Linked DNA regions of Mytilus edulis. Each later gene encodes a partner of the first gene's protein in a complex. Links are inferred from orthologs where the notes say so. Each region holds a gene or a part of one and is shown on either strand. Other genes may lie near its edges. The genes, in order: NADH dehydrogenase [ubiquinone] iron-sulfur protein 3, mitochondrial-like; NADH dehydrogenase [ubiquinone] 1 alpha subcomplex subunit 5-like.

What was found.
Region 2: the proteins of NADH dehydrogenase [ubiquinone] iron-sulfur protein 3, mitochondrial-like (region 1) and NADH dehydrogenase [ubiquinone] 1 alpha subcomplex subunit 5-like are in contact, whole or in part, in a cryo-EM structure (PDB 8ESW), measured with the Drosophila melanogaster proteins. The link is inferred for Mytilus edulis from reciprocal best matches to the Drosophila melanogaster genes ND-30 and ND-13B. Residues at the interface, in NP_647775.1 of Drosophila melanogaster: Tyr66, Glu69, Cys70, Leu71, Pro72, Lys73, Tyr74, Val75, Gln76, Lys77, Leu89, Ile90, Ala91, Pro92, Glu93, Val96, Pro97, Gln100, Phe101, Asp104, His105, His106, Gln107, Gln109, Val119, Val121, Cys123, Arg124, Asn126, Glu129; in NP_648409.1 of Drosophila melanogaster: Tyr28, Ser43, Tyr44, Tyr47, Thr48, Leu51, Arg55, Cys74, Gly75, Glu79, Gln83, Ala84, Asn86, Glu87, Ile89, Leu90, Lys93, Met94, Trp97, Lys98, Pro99, Trp100, Glu101, Lys102, Leu103, Val104, Gln105, Ala106, Ala107, Pro108.

The regions. Positions count from the first base shown.
Region 1 is NC_092348.1:8,636,402-8,646,374, forward strand, and holds the start of NADH dehydrogenase [ubiquinone] iron-sulfur protein 3, mitochondrial-like, read left to right. Parts: upstream 1-5,033; 5' UTR 5,034-5,099; coding exon 5,100-5,163; intron 5,164-8,319; coding exon 8,320-8,391; intron 8,392-9,874; coding exon 9,875-9,973. UniProt on the Drosophila melanogaster protein: Core subunit of the mitochondrial membrane respiratory chain NADH dehydrogenase (Complex I) that is believed to belong to the minimal assembly required for catalysis. Complex I functions in the transfer of electrons from NADH to the respiratory chain.
Region 2 is NC_092344.1:97,505,576-97,515,563, reverse strand, and holds the start of NADH dehydrogenase [ubiquinone] 1 alpha subcomplex subunit 5-like, read left to right. Parts: upstream 1-5,610; 5' UTR 5,611-5,643; coding exon 5,644-5,703; intron 5,704-9,988.

The DNA.
Region 1 (9,973 bases):
CGTTTATCATAGATTTTCGTGTGAAGTAGTCCATCTGTGTCAATATTGAGGAAAAGATCAAGGTATGAAGCAGTCCTTCTAGTATCAGTAGTATCCTTAATTTCAAGGTTCACGGGGATAAATGAGATGAAAGTATTGGCTGAAATATTGGTTATTCAATGATAGAATCATGAATATATCTAAAATTAAAATTCAAGAATTTTGCAAGGTGCTTTATCTTTTTGTCTTATAGAAGGTTCTGAATGAATTCTGCTTCATACGAGTGCAAAAACAAATCGGCCAGTAGGGGGTGCACAATTAGTACCCATTGGAATATCAATCCTACAAACTCAACAAATATATTGTCGATCGAAAAGTCCAGCATTTTGATAAAATTATCTTCAGTATATTTTCTGGTAGATTCAGTGCGTTCTTCTCTAAAGATGAATTATTGTAACCTAAAACAAGAAATCTGATCTACGATTCCCATTTTTATAGAAAAAGCTCTGTTTAATGAGATGGTGAAATCGATCTTTCAACTGAGCATGGGGAATAGTAGTGTAAAGCGTAGAAAAATCAAAAGTCTTTATGTTGCTGCAAAATTGAAAAAGATTGTGATCGAAGATTTAAAAGCAGCAGACAACCCTGGTAGAATACATATCATCACAATATTTTTTGAAGCCCATTTTTAACTGTAGAAAGAATAGTAGTCAGTACTTTAGAAAGATATTTAGTCGAACATTTTGATGACCCAGCTATGTATCGTTCTTTTTATGGAGTTTTGTGAAGTTTTGGTATCCAGTATAATGAAAAGATACCTAGTGTTGCCATTATTATAGGACACTGTAAGGCCTTCAACAATGAACAAAACATATATCGTATGTATATAGTCAGTTATTAAATACCCCACCATGATTATTGTGAAACTATTCAATAGAAAAAAAAATCAATTAACGGTTTGATTTAGAGCCAAAACAAATACTAAAAAAAGATATAACAGCTATAACACGTGACAGGAACCATCGACAATCAATGAATTCCAGAGTTCTTGTATTGGACAGGCCCATACTCTAATTTATATCTATGAAAGAATATAGTATGAATTTGAATAATTGAATAGTTGAACATAGATTAAGTTCATTGAAATCTGAAAAACCATTTCAGATAGGGCATAGCAAACAAGTTGGGAAAAGAACACAACGTAAGAAAGGTCAAAGGGAACTGCATGCCCATATTAAGCAATGATACATGTCAAGATGTGTCAATACCCATCTGATTGACGTAACAAGTACTGACGATGATGAAAATAAACTCATCATATATACCAGGATTGATAAGCCAGACTCACGTTTCGTCTACAAAAGACACATCAGTGACGCTCGATTCGAAAAATGTTAAAAAGGTTAAATAAAGTACGAAATTGAAGATCATTGAGGACCAATAATTCATAAAAGTTTTACCAAATACAGCTAAGGTAATCTAATCCTGAGGTAGAAAAGCCTTAGTATTTCAAACAAAACTTCAAAGTTTTGTTAACAGTCAATTCATAATTATGAACATACCAATGATAACTCAAGTCAACACGGAAGTGCTGACTACTGGGCTGGTGATACTCTTGGGGATTGGGGACTTAAAACTCCACCAGCAGTGGCATCGACCCAGTGGTTGTAAATGAACTCATCATAAATACCAGGATTGAAATGTTATATTAACGCCAGACGCGCGTTTCGTCTACAAAAGACTCATCAGTGACACTCGAATCGAAAAAAGTTAAAAAGGTCAAATAAAGTACGAAATTGAAGAGCATTGAGGACCGAAAATTCCTAAAAGTTTTGCCAAATACAGCTAAGGTAATATATTCCTGAGATAGGTGAACTTGGTAGTACGTAGACATTGCAAGGGTACCATATATACTACAATCAAATATAGTTTAAAATAAGCAATAGATATACCTTCTGTTTACAAGGTATGGAACATGCAGGTCATCTTGAATCGCCGGCGAGACAAAACGACCTGTCATGTGGTCTCTGGATTACTAGTATATATGCGGTTGATGGACTATAAATCTAACTGTGAACAAATTAATACTACACCTTACTTTTACCATATATTTAACATTGTCTGCAAGCGTTTGTTAAAAATTATTGCTTTGCAGAACCCTCTTCATGTCGATGTTCCTTATATTAACTGAATTTCACGATTTCTTCTTCTCAAAAAATCATTCGTAGAAATTGATTAATGTGCGGATTCAATTTAAAAAAAACCTTGTTTTTAATCTACATTTTGGTTTTATAACTTTGACCCTTCAGTAATCCCCTTTTTATTCATTTGTAGGACTTTTCATTTCTTTAAAGCAAACATATACTCAGAACTGCTATTTCAATCCATGCTGCTCTTCATTTTACACGTCAAGTTATTGAACAAAAAGAACAAATTTCACGAAAAGATAATCAATCGTTTACTCAGACAATGACGAACACCTTCTATCAAAAGACGGCATTTTTAGGGGCAACTTACAAATGTTATTACCAATAAAAAGACAACATATAAGTTTACTTGAATAACGTGTGTTATTTTGTTGACACTATCTTCTACTATTATCTACTACTTGGAAAAGTGCAGACCAAATATGTCATTTACAAACACAAAAAATTTGCTTAGAAATTGTAGAAGCCAATAACCTAATATGCATGCACATGATTATATAGATGATTTCTATGATAATCACATCTAAAATGCACAATGTTACAAGGAGTTTTTAACTTTTGTTGCGTATTCTTAATAACAAAGTTTCGAAAAAAATGATGTCACGTATGGGAAATAACATTGGATTACATAGCAAGGGATGACGTTATATACCAATGAGACAGCAACCCGAACCACAGATAACCTAACTCACTCAGAGGTTAATATTTAGTCCAACATTAGACAGCAACCCAAAACACAGATAACCTAACTCACTCAGAGGTTTATATTTAGTCCAACATTAGACAGCAACCCAAAACACAGATAATCTAACTCACTCATAGGTTAATAGTTAGTCCAACATTAGACAGGAACCCAAAACACAGATAACCTAACTCACTCAGAGGTTAATACATAGTCCAACATTAGACAGCAACCCAAAACACAGATAACCTAACTCACTCAGAGGTTAATAGTAAGTCCAACATTAGACAGGAACCCAAAACACAGATAACCTAACTCACTCAGAGGATAATACATAGTCCAACATTAGACAGCAACCCAAACCACAGATAACCTAACTCACTCAGAGGTTAATATTCAGTCCAACATTAGACAGCAACCCAAAACACAGATAACCTTACTCACTCAGAGGTTAATACATAGTCCAACATTAGTCAGCAATCCAAAACACAGATAACCTAACTCACTCAGAGGTTAATATTTAGTCCAACATTAGACAGCAATCCAAAACACAGATAACCTAACTCACTCAGAGGTTAATATTTAGTCCAACATTAGACAGGAACCCAAAACACAGATAACCTAATTCACTCAGAGGTTAATACATAGTCCAACATTAGACAGGAACCCAAAACACAGATAACTTACTCACTCAGAGGTTAATACATAGTCCAACATTAGACAGGAACCCAAAACACAGATAACCTAACTCATTCAGAGGTTAATACATAGTCCAACATTAGACAGCAACCCAAAACACAGATAACCTATCTCACTCAGAGGTCAATACATAGTACAACATTAGACAGAAACCCAAAACACAGATAACTTAACTCACTCAGAGAATAACATTTGGTCCAACATTAGACAGGAAACCAAAAGACAGATAACCTAACTCACTCAGAGGTCAATACATAGTCCAACATCAGACAGGAACCCAAAACACAGATAACCTAATTCACTCAGAGGTTTATACATAGTCCAACATTAGACAGGAACCCAAAACACAGATAACCTAACATACTCAGAGGTCAATACATAGTCCAACATTAGACTGGAACCCAAAACACACATAACCTCACTCACTCAGAGGTCAATACATAGTCCAACATTATATATATAGACAAGCAATTGCATTACTCAATAAAACTTATCTTTCATGATAACACGTGGTCCCACAATAAAGTGCACAAGTGAATCAATTAAACAAAATTATAAAATTCATTTTTTATGATCATAGCTAAAAATGTAATTATATTGAATGCTTCTTTTTGTAACTTCATAGGGTTGTAATAGCGTTGACCGTGCGCACATTTTTAGAAATACAAAATGTACTTCGGTCAACGCTTTTACACACCAATGAAGTTACGAAAAGAAGCATTCAATTCTTAAATAATGTATTATATGTAAATTGACTTGATCAGCCTAATTGTAGTAAATGTAATAATAACATCATAGTGTTTCCGTTTACAGAAGAAGATAAAACAAATGTATTTCTGTTCAAAGGGAGAAAAGTGCTGCTTGTTCTACTGTATATTTAACGTATAGACAATAGACAATATTTCATTAAGCACAAACACATTTACATTAAATGGTTATGGCATACAAAATTAAGACAATAAACTGACAATAGTTAAATTGATTATAATTATATTAGAGTGACAGTGGTATTCACAGCAAGAAGAAAAAGACTATAAATATCAACAGTTAACCCATTATTAATTTTCATGAACAATTAAAAAAAGAACACAAACAAAAATTAGGTTGCATATTAAAAGAAATACAAGTTATACAGATGTTCTCAATAAAAAACAATCATTAATATACTTTATGGTGATTTTTTTAATGACTGGTAGACTGCTATTTAAAAGTGCAGTCAAATGCTTCAGTGTTATAGTGGACTGCAATTTAATAAAATTGAAATTAAAATGTTTATTTATATTTTGTATATAGGTATCCCTCAATGATGTATAACATGGTATAACAGTTTGCCTGGCCTTTATATATATATATATATATATATTCCTCATAAAAACTGAATTAATTTATAAACAACGAATAATAGCCGTACTAAAAATGACCGTTTGATTTCTTTATTGCAAACATTTTAGATCGGTGCCTTGTCAGACCTTTACACGACACAATTTTTCTAGTTTCTCTCCCCGCATGTTTTATCCCCTAAGAAGGTCAAAATGGCGAGTCGATTTTGTCGACTTTTCCGACCTGCTGTAGTAACAAAGTTGTACCGAACACACTGTATGTGAAAATGAATTTAATAACAATTGGTTTTATGAAATATTTTTGACGATTTGAGTACGCTAGACAGCGGAACTTTAGCCTTCCTTATAACATATCTTTAATATGTCAGAGTTGAAACTGTCAACTGCCCTGGTCAAGTTATATTTTTTGACAATTTTTGTAACAAAGATAAATTGTCATAAAATTTCATTTTTGGTCAGCAACTGCCAAAGTTTATCAAAAGGACCTAACAGCTATGGTTCCATAGCTATCTATGATGGGGGTCTCATTTGGGGGTTCCGATCCTGGATCCCGCTTACTGTTTTGTCAGATTTCCGTATCCCGCTTACACTATGTACGTAAGCAATTCTCATTTTTTTTTGTCATTTCCCTGGTCCTGCTAGACCTCATTTCCCGTTTTCATGACACAATAATCATGATAATTTGACTTTCACATGTCACGTTTACAAAAAATCGGTGATCCCGTGTCACGCTTGGACCCCAATGAGACCCACTAATGCTCAGAATAATTGTCAAAAAGTAACATAATAATTACATTAGAACCACATATAGTCCCAGATAACTCTGACTTCCAACAGCTGTTTTGCCAGACAGGCTGGGGCCGTGGGACGTCAGAGCTCGTCCCATATCAAAAACTGGATATTTGCCCATCCAAAATAGATGCACTGCTTTGTCGCTTCTGGTGCCAACTAACGGCCTTGGAATTAATATATAAAATGGGTATCAATTAGATCATTTTTCATTTATCTCTTCATTTATGTAAGCTTCACCTACTGGACACCCTTTATTTTTCCATATTTAAACAGTTTTCACAGTTACCCATCGATTCAGACATTTTTACTTTTATTTTCAAAAGGATGTCAGATTATCATGTGACCACGAGAAAAAAGTGATGATTTATATCAAATGACCATAATCGAAATCCTCCGACCTCGTTCATTTACGATGCAAGTAATCTAAATGTTTGAGAGCTTCCGATTGTTATTGTGCAGTGATCTGGAAGGATTTTTTCTCTATGGGCCCAGGGCCCCTCAAAATTAAATTCAAGGGGCCATTTAAAAAAATAATGGGCCATGTCAAATGAATGGGCCATTTGAATCGACTACAGTGAAAAAAGTGAAAAGTGTATATCTCGGCAAAGAGATGGTGGTACTTACCTTTATGATTTTAAATAATATTATAGATATTGTGCCTGTGATTTTGTTATTTCAATTCAACAAAGAATGTAAAATAATTTCTTCCAAACCAGATAATATTTAAGATATCCTTTATTTACAATGTTTCTACTGCTACTGTTGTCTTGTTCATGTGCATGGGTTTTTTTTTTACATTAAATTTGGGTCTTCGTCGATTCCATACTTATTCCCGACGTTCCGTATTAGAGGACGTATTTGGCATTTCCTCTGCACTTCTTGTATTATTATTACTTCATCACGATGACAACAATAACATTAGAGAGTATCATTAATTGATAAAACAAAGCAACAATTCGCTGAAGGCATGTTTACAAAATGTCAAAACAAGCCAAAGACCAAAAAGTGACAAGGACAGTTAGTTGCCTTTTATGGAGACAAAAACTATATTCATAAAAAGGCTTTGGGGTTTTTTCAATCGAAATAGTAGCAAGCTGAACTAAGTTAAAAGATAATAATTAGAGACAAATATCGTCTGTACTAGCCAAATTTTACAAATTTAAGGTTGTAAAAAATCATATCATGAATGATGGTTAATTACGTTTTTTGGGTAATCAGTTACACCCCATGGTTCTATTATTTCCATAGGAAAACACACGAGACGTCCCAAAAATATATAGGTGCTCCTATCATTGGAGGAACATTACACAGTTGTGTACACACACATGGCGGCACGGAACACGATCGGAAATCCATTTGACGATATCTAAACTTATCGAAACGAAGTGAAAAATATCGTGCGCCACGTGGGCGCTTACATACATTGTAAGTCACTCTATGCGCCATTTCTGGTCGATATGCGCTATAGGCGCACGACCTTCCCGATCACTGATTGTGGTTGGCACTAAATGCTTAATACCAATCTCCTGTAAAGGAGGTGAAAAAATCGTGTTTGGCTACTGAATGTTAAACATTGATCTCCTATAAAGGAGTTGAAAAAAGTATAAATATTTGTATATTTGAGTCTCGAGGTCGCAAAATCTCTCGTAACTTGACATCCTTTAGAAAATAAAAGTAAAAATATCTGAATTGATGGGTCAATGTGAAAACTTTCAATATGGAAAAATAAAGGGTTGCAGGTAGGTGAGGCTTACATTTTGTACATAAATGAAGAGATAAACAAAAAATGAACAAATTGATACCTGTTTTATATTATTTCAAGGCCATTAGTTGGCACCAGAAGCAATGAAGCAGCGCATCTACATGTATTTTTGGATGGGCAAATATCCACTTTTTGATATGGGACAAGCAGTGATGTCCCACGGCCCCAGCTTGTCTGGCAAAACAGCCGTTGGATGTCAGGGTAATCTCGGACTAGGCCTAACATGGACCGAATTCTTCTGTCATAGGACTAAACTTCTTCCCATTTCAGTGTTCCTCGTTAATACTATTCAAAAATATATTTACCATGTTTACAGATTTGCACTTACTGTTTCTTTTGACAGTCTATACGTAGAAACAGATGAAATACTCTGTCCACTTACATGTAGTTACACCCTTTAACTCAACTAGTTTTGTGTAGATGTCTATTGTCCTTTCTCAGCACAGTAGTGATATGAAAAATTATCGCTAAAAACTATGCTCAGCTCACATGCCCATGTCAATATAAACATCAACATCGTCATAGATAAAATAGCAATAAACAGATTATCATTGATCATCTCAACTAGTAAATAGGTTTTGTCACTTTACCTTTTAGAACCTTTTTACTTCACAAGTTATTGAATTTTTGAAAAATATAATCCAGTGAACAAAAATTTTCAAATTGGAAAATTAGTATGTTGTTTAGAATAAAATAGTATTATACAGTTATACTAAGAGCTATTTTAATACTTTGTTATCTGTTTTAAATTTTGTTTGACCTTGAATATCTGTTGAAATTTCACATTTTAGAAGCAAAAATTAACAAAATACACACACAAGAATTTTACTTTATTGAACATTAATTTTTCTTTTTTAGTACTAAAAGCTAATCCAGTTGTTGCACAGTGTCAGAGATTACAGACAACAGATTCTACAAACCAAACATCTCGTAATTATTATTTTTACTGTTAAAGGGAAAAGTTTTTTTGGGGTTTTAATTTTGATTATTATGAGTAACATAATTTATGTAATATTTTTTAAATTAGTCTGAAATTAGTTGACTATATATATGACATTTGAAAATAAAACCAGAAATAACTTTTGACTTAATTTTAAAAATATTATATTTATATAACCATGATAACCTGCTGTAGACTGAGAAGTATTCCTTATGAAACCACACAAAATTAAACTTGATTATAGGAATTAAATGGGATTTGTGAATTATGTGAAATGAAAGAAAAAAATAATGGATAGGATAAGCTGGTTTAAATGTATTTTGAGATACAAATGTAGTATACAATAAAACATCACCAACATACATCATATATATATATAAGACCATAGGATTGTTGCATGTTTATATGGTATAAGTTTACCACAAACTCTCTTGTCAAGTTTTAAAAGAAAAGTTTTTATGATAATTGTTTTCCATTTGGCATGATAACTGCAAAAATTTATATATTGTAAATATTACTAGTACTGTAACTGTTCATTTTCTTCTCACAATTTGTGTCTATTTGGTTATATTTTGAACATTTCTAGTAAAAGCTATAGAAAAAATAAATATTATTAAAGTGTATGGTGTTTTTTGATTCATTGGATATGAATAAGCAAGGATATTAGCACTGCCATTAGTTTCTGGACCTATGGCCATCATGGCCGATGATCAGGATATGAAAATATGGATAATCAAAAAGAAAGTAGCCCATTTATAAAACATGTCAAATAATCTTATAAAGTGACTGTGAAGGCAAAATTAGTCATCAGCTGTCTTGAAATGAATTTTATATGACAATAAAACTTTCATTTTTGAAAAATCCACAGGACCCAAAATGTGAAACTAAACTAACTGTGTATTGCTACCCAAATATCTTTGCAAATTGTTAGGTTTATAAAAAAAATGATTGGGTAAAATTTAACCAATTTCACATGTTGAATCATATAAACATGATTAACTTTTGAAATTGTTTAAAAAAAATGTGAAATGTAAAAAAAAAATCTTACATAGGTACACTGAACACCTCAGAGTCAAAACAGACATTCAAATGAGATATAAAGCACACACATACTCAGATATAAAGCACACACATACTCAGATATAAAGCACGCACATACTCATTCAAATGAGATATAAAGCACACTCATACTCATTCAAACAATATAGTAGCAGATTCAAAACACTTATGACAATATAAGAGAAGCATAAGATCCTATCAAACTTTAGATCCCCAATGGAAAAAGTTGGCAGATATGCATAATTAATCTGTTATTAATATTGAACTTAAATAATAATTGTAATTTACAAAAAAATGAAAATACTCATGATAATATGTTGAAACAGTCTATAATAATATTTGACCCCTTGGATATATTTAGTCCTAGACTTGGTGAAATCAGAAGCATAATTTAAATAATCTTGTATATTTCAGCCACAGTGAGACCTCAGAACTTACCCTACAGGCAGCAGTTGAAAGATTTTGGGCAATATGTAGCTGAATGTTTGCCTAAGTATGTACAACATGTTGTGG
Region 2 (9,988 bases), on another chromosome or scaffold:
ATTAAAGAAAAAACATTCAAATTCAAATTTGAATTCTTTATTAACTTTGAGCATTACAGCTCATCATTGTATTCATTGTATTCATATTGCATACACACAAATCACATTGATCAACATTTTCTTATCTTAAAGGTACCATAGAATTAGAAATGTGTTTTGAAAAATGCTGGTTTTTACAGGTAAATATTAGCTCTAGGATTTTCAAGTTACACTTAACATCAATCCTTCCTGGGTATTGGAACATTACCAAACACTGGGAAAATTGCATAAAAGATGTATTACCATCAGTCGAATCAAATTTGAATTATCTGCATTGTCATTAAGTTTCCATTAACTTTTCCAGTTTTCTCTTTCATTGAATCAAGCATATTAAATTTCCCATTATTTGTACAGAACACATTTTATATTATTTTCCAAACTTATTTTGAATGACAATAAAGATAAATTTTCTGATTTGTCATAACTTAATGCCCACTGAAGTTTTTTATTTTCTTCCCAATATTGTAAAGAATCTATGGCTGTATTGCTTTAATTTTGGTATTTTAGGTTGAAAACAGAAAACATTGTAAATGTTCGATCTATCATTCAATTAAAGCACAAAAAATCATTCAAGTTCTTGAACTATTTGTTTTTATAAACTGTTTCAAATAAATTTGGTCCATGTTGTCCATATTTTTAGGGGGAAAAATCCATAAGCAACAAATTAATTTAGTGAGGCCTTGGCCAGATGAATCAACAAATTGATAATTTCTTGTGACATTGCATCTGTTGCTAGGTGATGTCTTGAGGTATAATAAACCAAAACCTGTTCAAATTATTAAAATTGGCAAACGTTGAATGATATTTGTGGGAAGTAAGAGCCAGGTTTAAAAGGAGTAAGATTCATTAGGCCCTTATATTTCCAACTAATTTTCAAAAAGAGGCTCCAGATACCAAAGTGACATTCAAATTATTGAGTGGAAAAATACAGAGGCGGATTTAGGGGGGGGGGGGTAAACAGGCCCCCCCCCCCCTTTTTGGAAAAAAAATTGGTTGCTTATATAGGGAATCACTGAAGCCTGACTGGAGCGGGGCCCCTCTTAGGTCAGTCAGTGGGCCCCCACTTATGAAAATTTCTGGATCCGCCACTGAAATAAACTGATGACATTATGACAAAAATAGTAAGACTTATAATGGTGTCATAATAATCAAAATAACTGTTCCCCCATATTCAATAATACATAAAAATTAAGAATGCACATTCCCTTGGGTTTTTTGGCCAGAAATATAAAGGATATGTGTCAGCAACAAATCTTTTTCAACATTATGCTTGTTAAAACAAATGAACTATCTCACAAAATGAACCTACACTCTATGTTTCCTTAATTATGGTTTAAATTAAGAAGCTACTGTAATACTTCTCAAAAATCTTCGTGAAAAATAGAAAAACTTTGTAAGAAAAACTTTATAAAGATAGTCCCATTTTATCTCTCACTCATATATATACAAATATATTCTTTTCAACTTGAAATCCCTGAAATGTCCAGAAAGGACCCTTCTTACAATTGTTTGGATTGTTCACATGGGGGGGGGGGGGGGGGGGTTACTATTTGCTGGGTTTAATATCCATACAAACCTGAGGTTGTCTCTGAGTTCTTATGGAAAGTAAACCAGGCAAATAGTAACAAACCCCTTTTGATTGTTTAATGAATTTTGAAGCCCTCAAAACCTTAAGTTATCAAAGAATGGTTTTATATAAATCCACTGATAAAATTTCTTGAAAAAAGAAGTTAAAGGTACCGGTATGCAACCTTGTCCATTTGGAATGTAAAAGTGAAATGGAGTTGCAAAGGTTTTTCAAGCCAAAAACAACTATATGCATGTCAAGAGTGAGCTATTATAGTATGCATGCAGTGTTTTTATAATGGCCCTGTTATATATCCAAGGTCTGTAATAATGGTTGAGAAAGTCTGTAATGGCCCAATAAATTAACAGTGGCGGATCCAGACCTTTCCATAAGTAGGGCCCGCTGACTGACTTAAGGGAGGGGGCCTGGCCCACTTCAGTCATGCTTCTGTTATTCCCTATATAATCAACAAAATTTTCCCACAAAAGGGTGGGCCCGGGGCCCCCCAGCCCCCCTTCTGAATCTGTTTATTTTTTACCTTTAAAATGTTTTTATAGTTGGCTAAAATATCCTGTGCTGATTGGTAAATAATCGGTGTTGTGACATCTGATTTGATTTGAAATAACAAAAAAGACTTTTGCCAAGATAAGTGACGGGATTTCTTGTAAAGATTTTTCAATAAAAAAGTTATTTTACAATATATTTCAAATATTATTTTATTTTGTTTAATTTGAACAATTACTCAATAATATAATTTTAATTTTAAGAATTACCATAAATATTTCATGATTCATATGCATAACATGGGTACTTATAGTAAAAAATAAAAATAAAATAAATTATAAAAACAACAACATATAAATTGCATGTTAAAATAATAACATAATAGTTATCATGTCATACCATTATTATTGGTCTCATAAATCTTAATAATTGAATAGCAGAAACAAGTTCTCATAGAATATTGGTATAGATCAATGTCTGCAATCTTATAAAGTATCATGCCATAGTTTCATCAATAGAATTCATAGATTTTTACCAATACCATCTGAATATGCAGTAATAGTCTGTCATAATATCATTTAAGGTGAATCATTGATTTCCTTGTAGAATTTCTAATTTTCATCCTGATATTACATCTGCTATCAACAATTTACATAAATAAATAATTAAAAACACTCTTTTTCTAATGTTTACAAAAAATAATGCATATTTTGGGATTTTTTTATGCATAAATGACAAAATAAAATTGCACCTTATTTTTAGGTGCTTTGTAGCAAATGTGTAGCATATTGTTTTACTTACATGTATAATATGGCATGGTTTTGGATATCAATAAAGGTATCCAGGAATTTGTACTGTAAGCCTGCAGGAAGCTGGCTGGATTATTCCATATCCTAAAGAAAGGGAAAACAAGACAAAAAGATCAATAATATGTCCCATTGATTATTAGTTATTATTTAATGAGGTATTGTAAAGTAAAATTGATCTAATGTGTGATATAGAATTATATAAAAATAACCAGTAAATAGTATCAATCAATATTGGAAATTTAGAAAACAATTTCAAACAATTTAAGCACAAAATTTCGGTTATTTGCAATCAATATATGTGCCATAAAATATTTCTGTTAATGTTTCAATCACGGTAACAAAATGCAGTTCTCCAATAACAATAACATAATTTCCTTAAATAATTAGTTGTTTAAACAAATAAGTAAACGAATTTTTTTTAAAATAAATAAACAAATATCTTATAAATTTTTTTTTTTTTAAATTTAACAAAACATTAACACTATACTGATTATAAAATTTAAAGGGGCACCAGCTGTCAAATTCATGGTCAACAATTTGACTCAAGTTCTCATATTTGATTTATAACAATGTAAAACATTTATCTAAATTATCAAAAGTCTAAAATAAACAGTTTACAGAGCATGGGGTAGATAATATATAGGTTCGTTTCGAGTGTATTTTAGTCCAGACGCCATCTAATTAACTCTCAATTTGACCTCAGATGACCATATAAGCGATGTAAACATAAATAAAGATATGAATAGATTAAACCAATATGTGCAATTGGATTTTTATAGGTCTGTTTGATTTTATTTTATAGATTAAAAATAGATGTTTCTCATTGCTTTTAATCGTATAAGAATGATTTTATGTGCATCGAATTAGTAATCAAATGAATTACTGTAGTTTCACTTTCATTGTTGACATTCTTTTTCTTTAAATAACCAAGTACACGTACAATGCATGTGTTGTCAATCTCTAGCAAGAGGTTAAATTGAAGTTCACATGAATACGGATTTAAAGAGGTTGACTCATTCACTTGCAAGTGAATAACTAATTATCAATGTTTTTTAGCGTAATTTGACAAAATTGAACCTTTTTGGCTGCAAAAAGCGAATTGTTATTTCACTTTCATTATTGATTGAACAAAAAAAATCAAACTTTAGACTTTTTATATATCTTATAGCTAGTGCCCCTTTAAATTTTACAATGATTTTACATCACAGAAAAGAGATAAAATTATTTTAACCAGGTGCTCCGCAGGGCGTAGCTTTATACGACCCCAGTGGTCGAACCCTGAACAGTTGGGGCAAATTTGGTCACAATATTCAAGCTCGATACTGTCTGAATTTTGAATGTGATCAAATTTTTGACATAATATAGATTTTTGCCACAATTAATTAATGTGGCTCAAGATCTAACACATCTATTGCACAATACTGTGCAATTGAATATTTATTATTGAAACTTTTCAAAATTTGAAAAATGTTGAAAAAAAAAAAAAAAAAATCCCTTAAAAAAATGGTAAACTGAGACCCCCGCCCCCCAATTTATTGAAACCTCCCCCTTGGAGAAATAACCCTTAAACTCAATACCATGCTTTCCTTTGTAATATTGAACCTTGTAGTACAATTTCAGAGAGATCCATACACTTAAACACAAGTTATTGTCATGATTGTTTGGAAACTAGAAACATGCTTCTTTTTGGCCCTTAATTCCTAAACTTTGGCCCCATAACCCCTTAAATGAATCCAAACCTTCTACTTGTGATTTTAAACATTGCAGTATACTTTCAGAGCAATTGAAATACTGGTAAACAAGTTATTATCCTGAAACTAGAAAAATGCTTGTTTTGGCCCCTTTTGGGCCCCTAATTCCTAAACGGTTTGGACCATCATCCCCAAAATAAATCCCAACCTTCATTTTGTGGTATTGAACCTTCTGAAAAAAAATCATTAAGATCTATTCACTTAAACTAAAGTTATTATCGGGAAACCAAAGTGTCTTCGGACGACAACAACGCAGACAACGCTGACGACGCAGACGACGACATCATACCATTATACGAACCCAAAATTTTTTTGGGGTCGTATAAAAAATAGTGTTAACAAAAAGGAACTTAGTTTCTGTGTCATTTGGTCTCTTTTGAAGAGTTGTCTCATTGGGCAATCATTAACCTCATTTTCTTATTCCTATATTGTAAATTGATCAAAGACTTTAATGGCCAGGTATTTGAGACTGTTCTTTAACAAAGAAGAAAGGTCTTCATTAATCTATTTTCTCGCTGCATTGAAGACCCAATAATGGCCTTCAGCTGTTATCTGCTCTTTGGTTAGGTTGTTGTTTCTTGTCATATTCCCCATTGCCATTCTCAAAGAAAGGTCTTCACTAATATTTAATAAATTGAGAATGGCAATGGGATAATGACATCAGACATCGAGTTACTCGATTTGCCCTTGAAGAATAAACAATAGTCAATACCAGAGACATATAAATACAGTATACATGTCTCTGTCACTACGTAGTGCAGTTTGTTCCCATTGTTAAATTGTGAGCATTTTTCTGACTAATGATTTTCATCAGTAAATTGGTTATTACTATTTTGTTTGCTTATTTCTTCCATAGTCGGTTCAAGTGGTTAATTCTAGATGACAGTTCGTAGTAACTGAGTATTGTACGTCGGTAAGAAAGTTGTTGATCAAAATCATTAATATGGCGGGAAAACCGTGAAAAGATAGAAAAATGCTGAGATGTTCCGAAATATATAAACTTCCGGTAGAAATGGCAGGCTACCTGAAAAAAGTAAATTATATGTAGTTTAGGCGATAAGCAATGATTGTACATTGAATTATTTTTTATATATACCTTGTCTGATAGAGACTCTCATTTTTGACTCGAATTTACAAGGAAAAATATAATGACTTGACTAAACGTAAAAGTCCATTTATTTGAAGCAGAAAGATGTGTCCTTGAGAAGTTATTTAATATTTTCTTATTTTGTCAAACATTTGGAAACATCTAAACGTACACTTACAAAAACTAGCATATTAAGAGGTTTTAACAAAACTGTAAGCCAAAAAAGTGTCCCATGAAATTGTGTCCTCTAGAACATTATTTCACAGTTCATCTGTGAAATTTTGTTCATGGGACAGAATATCACATTTTTTAACTATAAAATCGTGTCCCCCTAGGTGAAAAATTGTCCCTAGTACTTGCACATAATTTCATGGATGTTTTATAAAAATATGTCACAAAAGACAATATTTCATAGTGTAGCTATTTTTTTCTGTCCCTAAAGAAGGGAAATAATTTAGCAATCATTGAAATGTTTTAATCAATTAGTTAAATCATAATTGAAATTTAAATAAAGACAACACAGATGTAAACAAAAATGGAAAGTGGTGAATATAAACAGCTATATGACTTTCTGTGTGATGATCAATACCCTCCAGAGTTTGAAAATAATGATAGAAGATCATTTAGAAGGAAGGTAAAGCAGTTTCAAATTAAAAGCAATGAAATGTATTATATACATGTTGACAAAAAAAACACAAGAGAAAACATTAAAACTTGTAATTCAAAGATGTTAAAACATCATGATTTCATTATGAAAAAATGTCCAACGAAGGTCACAATAGAATCTCTTGTCAAGGGACACTTTTACATAGAAGGGGACAATATTCTATAATAAAATTATGTCCTGGACCAAATTTCATAGGTTATATCTGTGAAATTTTGTCCATGGGACATCATTTCATGGGGGACACTATTTAATCCTACTTTACCTGTGAAAGGGGACGAAATTCACAAAACTTCGGAAAACTTTATATCTCATGTACATCATACAGTCATGACAGTGTATGTATAAACATTTATAGTAAAAATATGTTGCAGCCAAGGATCCGGAAATTGTTTCACCTAATTTCGGTCATTTTGGATAACTTAAAGTTGGTGCCCTTTTTCAAACAAAGATTGTGTGTATGCTCATACAGTCATACTCGTAGCATTAACGAACTTGTTTAACTGTTGCATCGCATTTACTTCAGAAATTTCCCTACCATTTTCCTTAAAATCGATCTTGAGCAATAAAAGGAAGGCAACAGTTTAAAAATGAAATGATTTTAATGACTCAAAACGATAAATTTATCAAACTTCGCTTACGTTTCTTTCGATTTGGAAGCCAAAATTATAACCGGATGTTTTACGACAATAGTAAAACGACCAATTCCGGACTCATTTCCGGGATAAGTTTTGTTTAAATTCACAGGAAATCGTCGGCTTTTTAACTGTTTTACCTTTAATAGTGTTTGAATATTAATTATAATAGTTGGACTTGTTTAATTTAGCATGAAATCATTTTGAATTTACGATTTAGTGTCTAATTTGCGGAATAGAATTTCAAGCATGCGTATTAGTAAACAAAGCATGTGTGTTTGTAGTGAAACAATATTTTGTTCTCTGAAATTAATTTAATTTTAATTTAATTTTAAATCAGAATTGACAATTGTCTAAGCTGAGAAAAGTAATAAAATAATGCAGACAGTTGTTATGAACTTTTAATTTCTTTAAATTATTAGTTCTGAGCTCGTGATCAATAAAAAAATTAATTAAAAACACAGGTAAAGAGATTAGCGATCATTAGCCAATATTTCCCAGAGGCATTACTATAGTTATTAGGAGGGCCCTCAGGATTATAACACTTTACTGGAGTGGCAGTTTTATTACAGGAAAAGGATAACAAACAAAAAATAAGTTCAAAATGGCGATTTAGACAATGTTAGAAACTCGATCTCAACGAAATGACATTGAAGACCGAAATTATTTCTGTAAAAAAAATGAAATTTGTCCTAAATCCCAATTACTCATTTAGGACAAAATACTTTCAGTTTAGGTCAAGACTGGCATATATGACCGTTTCCGGACCCTTGGTTGCAGCATAATTTCTGGTATACATGTAGAGTATCTGAATTACTGAAACATATCAGATTTTGGTGCCTAATTTAGGAATTTTATATATGACATCATTTTCATTGTAAGCAGTTGTTGACATGATATGGGTTATGTTCTCATATATTTTATGATGGGTAATACTAAACATCTAACAGGAGGGATTGTGCTTGATATTCTCCGTCTTTTCTTTTCTTTACTGTGCTCGGCTCCTGTGGAGTATTATCAAACAATCAGACTATGCACAGTTTAAATCTGAGTCATTTAATTTGAGACAGACGAAAAGCAGGTTTAAAAACAAGTTGGTCCTTAGAAGTGTACATGCTTATTCTCTCCTTGAACAACTTGAGTTTCAAAAGAACTATACCAGCGGGGAAGAATGAGTCCTGGTAGCTGTATGTGGTATGAGCTACTTGCTGAAATTTCTATGTGTGTCCATTGGTTGTCAGGTAAACCACATGTAGCGATAGTGATGGTATTTTGATCAGTTGGTTGAAGACACAAAATATCATGATGCAGTGGGACTTGTATCTTAATGACTGTAGTTGTTGGAACATTGCTGTTACACTGCTATCTCTCCTGTAGTCATAATGATGAATGTATAGATTCAATGGCTGTCATATGTTGTTTGGTTGAACCGAAGTATTCAATCTGTGGGTGAACTAGTGTCTTGTAGCTTGTTTCTTTGATGTTTTTGGGTAACTGGTTATGTTTCTTCTCAAGAATCCCAAGGAGTTGTTTTACCTTTTTCATGATCTTACTGTCAATTGTAAAGCTTAAGTAGTTCGCCCAATCTGTTATTTGTAAAACATGGCCATGAATGGAATAGTTGTCGTCAGTTATTTTCTGCTAGTAGATTATGCGGATGACTTCACATTTTTCTGGGTTGCAGCTCATCATCCAGTCTTTCTCCCAATATTGCAGTTGGTCATGAGCTTTTTGTAATATCTTGCGAGCCCTCAAGAGGCAATCTTCTGCAATTAGTCTAGTTCAAGACTATGTAGACTTTAGATGGTAGGTCATTTATAGAAATACAATTGTAGTAAATAACTGGGTACTAATAGTTTCACTCCCAGGACTGTTCCTGGCATGGGGCACTCCAAATGTTACAGGAGCTTGCTTTTTGGGGTCAAGAATAAGATTGCAATCAGAGCCATTGCATCCCTATTGTCATTAAAAATACATGTATCTGGTTAGCGATATTTAGCTGTATTGTAAGCCTTTTCTAGATCTGTATCTGTGTTTGTGAGTAAATAAGCATAGTAAAATGGATGTAAATTCTTTACATGTTTGTAGATCCTATTCATGCCCATACATGTATAATATATACTCAGATAGACTAGTTACAATATGATGTGTACATGTAAGTGTTATCACCATACAATGTTGGTACATGTACTTGTGAAGAAAAGTATTTTCTTGAAAACTTACCTAGTTGCAGGCAGTATGTCATACATGTAGATTATGAATTAAACTGCTTTTACCTTCAAATGTGGACTAAGAAAGATAACCCATTTCAAAATATTGCATAATTATATTTCTTTGCTTAAATAATATATATACAATGCAATGTTTAACCTTTCCATTTCAATTCCTGATGAATGCAAATTTTTCCCCCTCAGTGCCTGCAAGTACATTTTACTGTGACTTTCATTTTCACAGCATCACAGCTTGATTTTAAAAAAAATTATCATTGTTTTTCTTGAACATGTAAGAAATCATAATCTTTCAGTCAGTTTAGTTGAAGTCTGGAGCTGGCATGTCAGTTAACTGCTAGTAGTCTGTTGTTATTTATGTATTATTGTCATTTTGTTTATTTTCTTTGGTTACATCTTCTGACATCAGACTCGGATTTCTCTTGAACTGAATTTTAATGTGCGTATTGTTATGCGTTTACTTTACTACATTGGTTAGAGGTATAGGGGGAGGGTTGAGATCTCACAAACATGTTTAACCCCGCCGCATTTTTGCGCCTGTCCCAAGTCAGGAGCCTCTGGCCTTTGTTAGTCTTGTATTATTTTAATTTTAGTTTCTTGTGTACAATTTGGAAATTAGTATGGCGTTCATTATCACTGGACTAGTATATATTTGTTTAGGGGCCAGCTGAAGGACGCCTCCGGGTGCGGGAATTTCTCGCTAC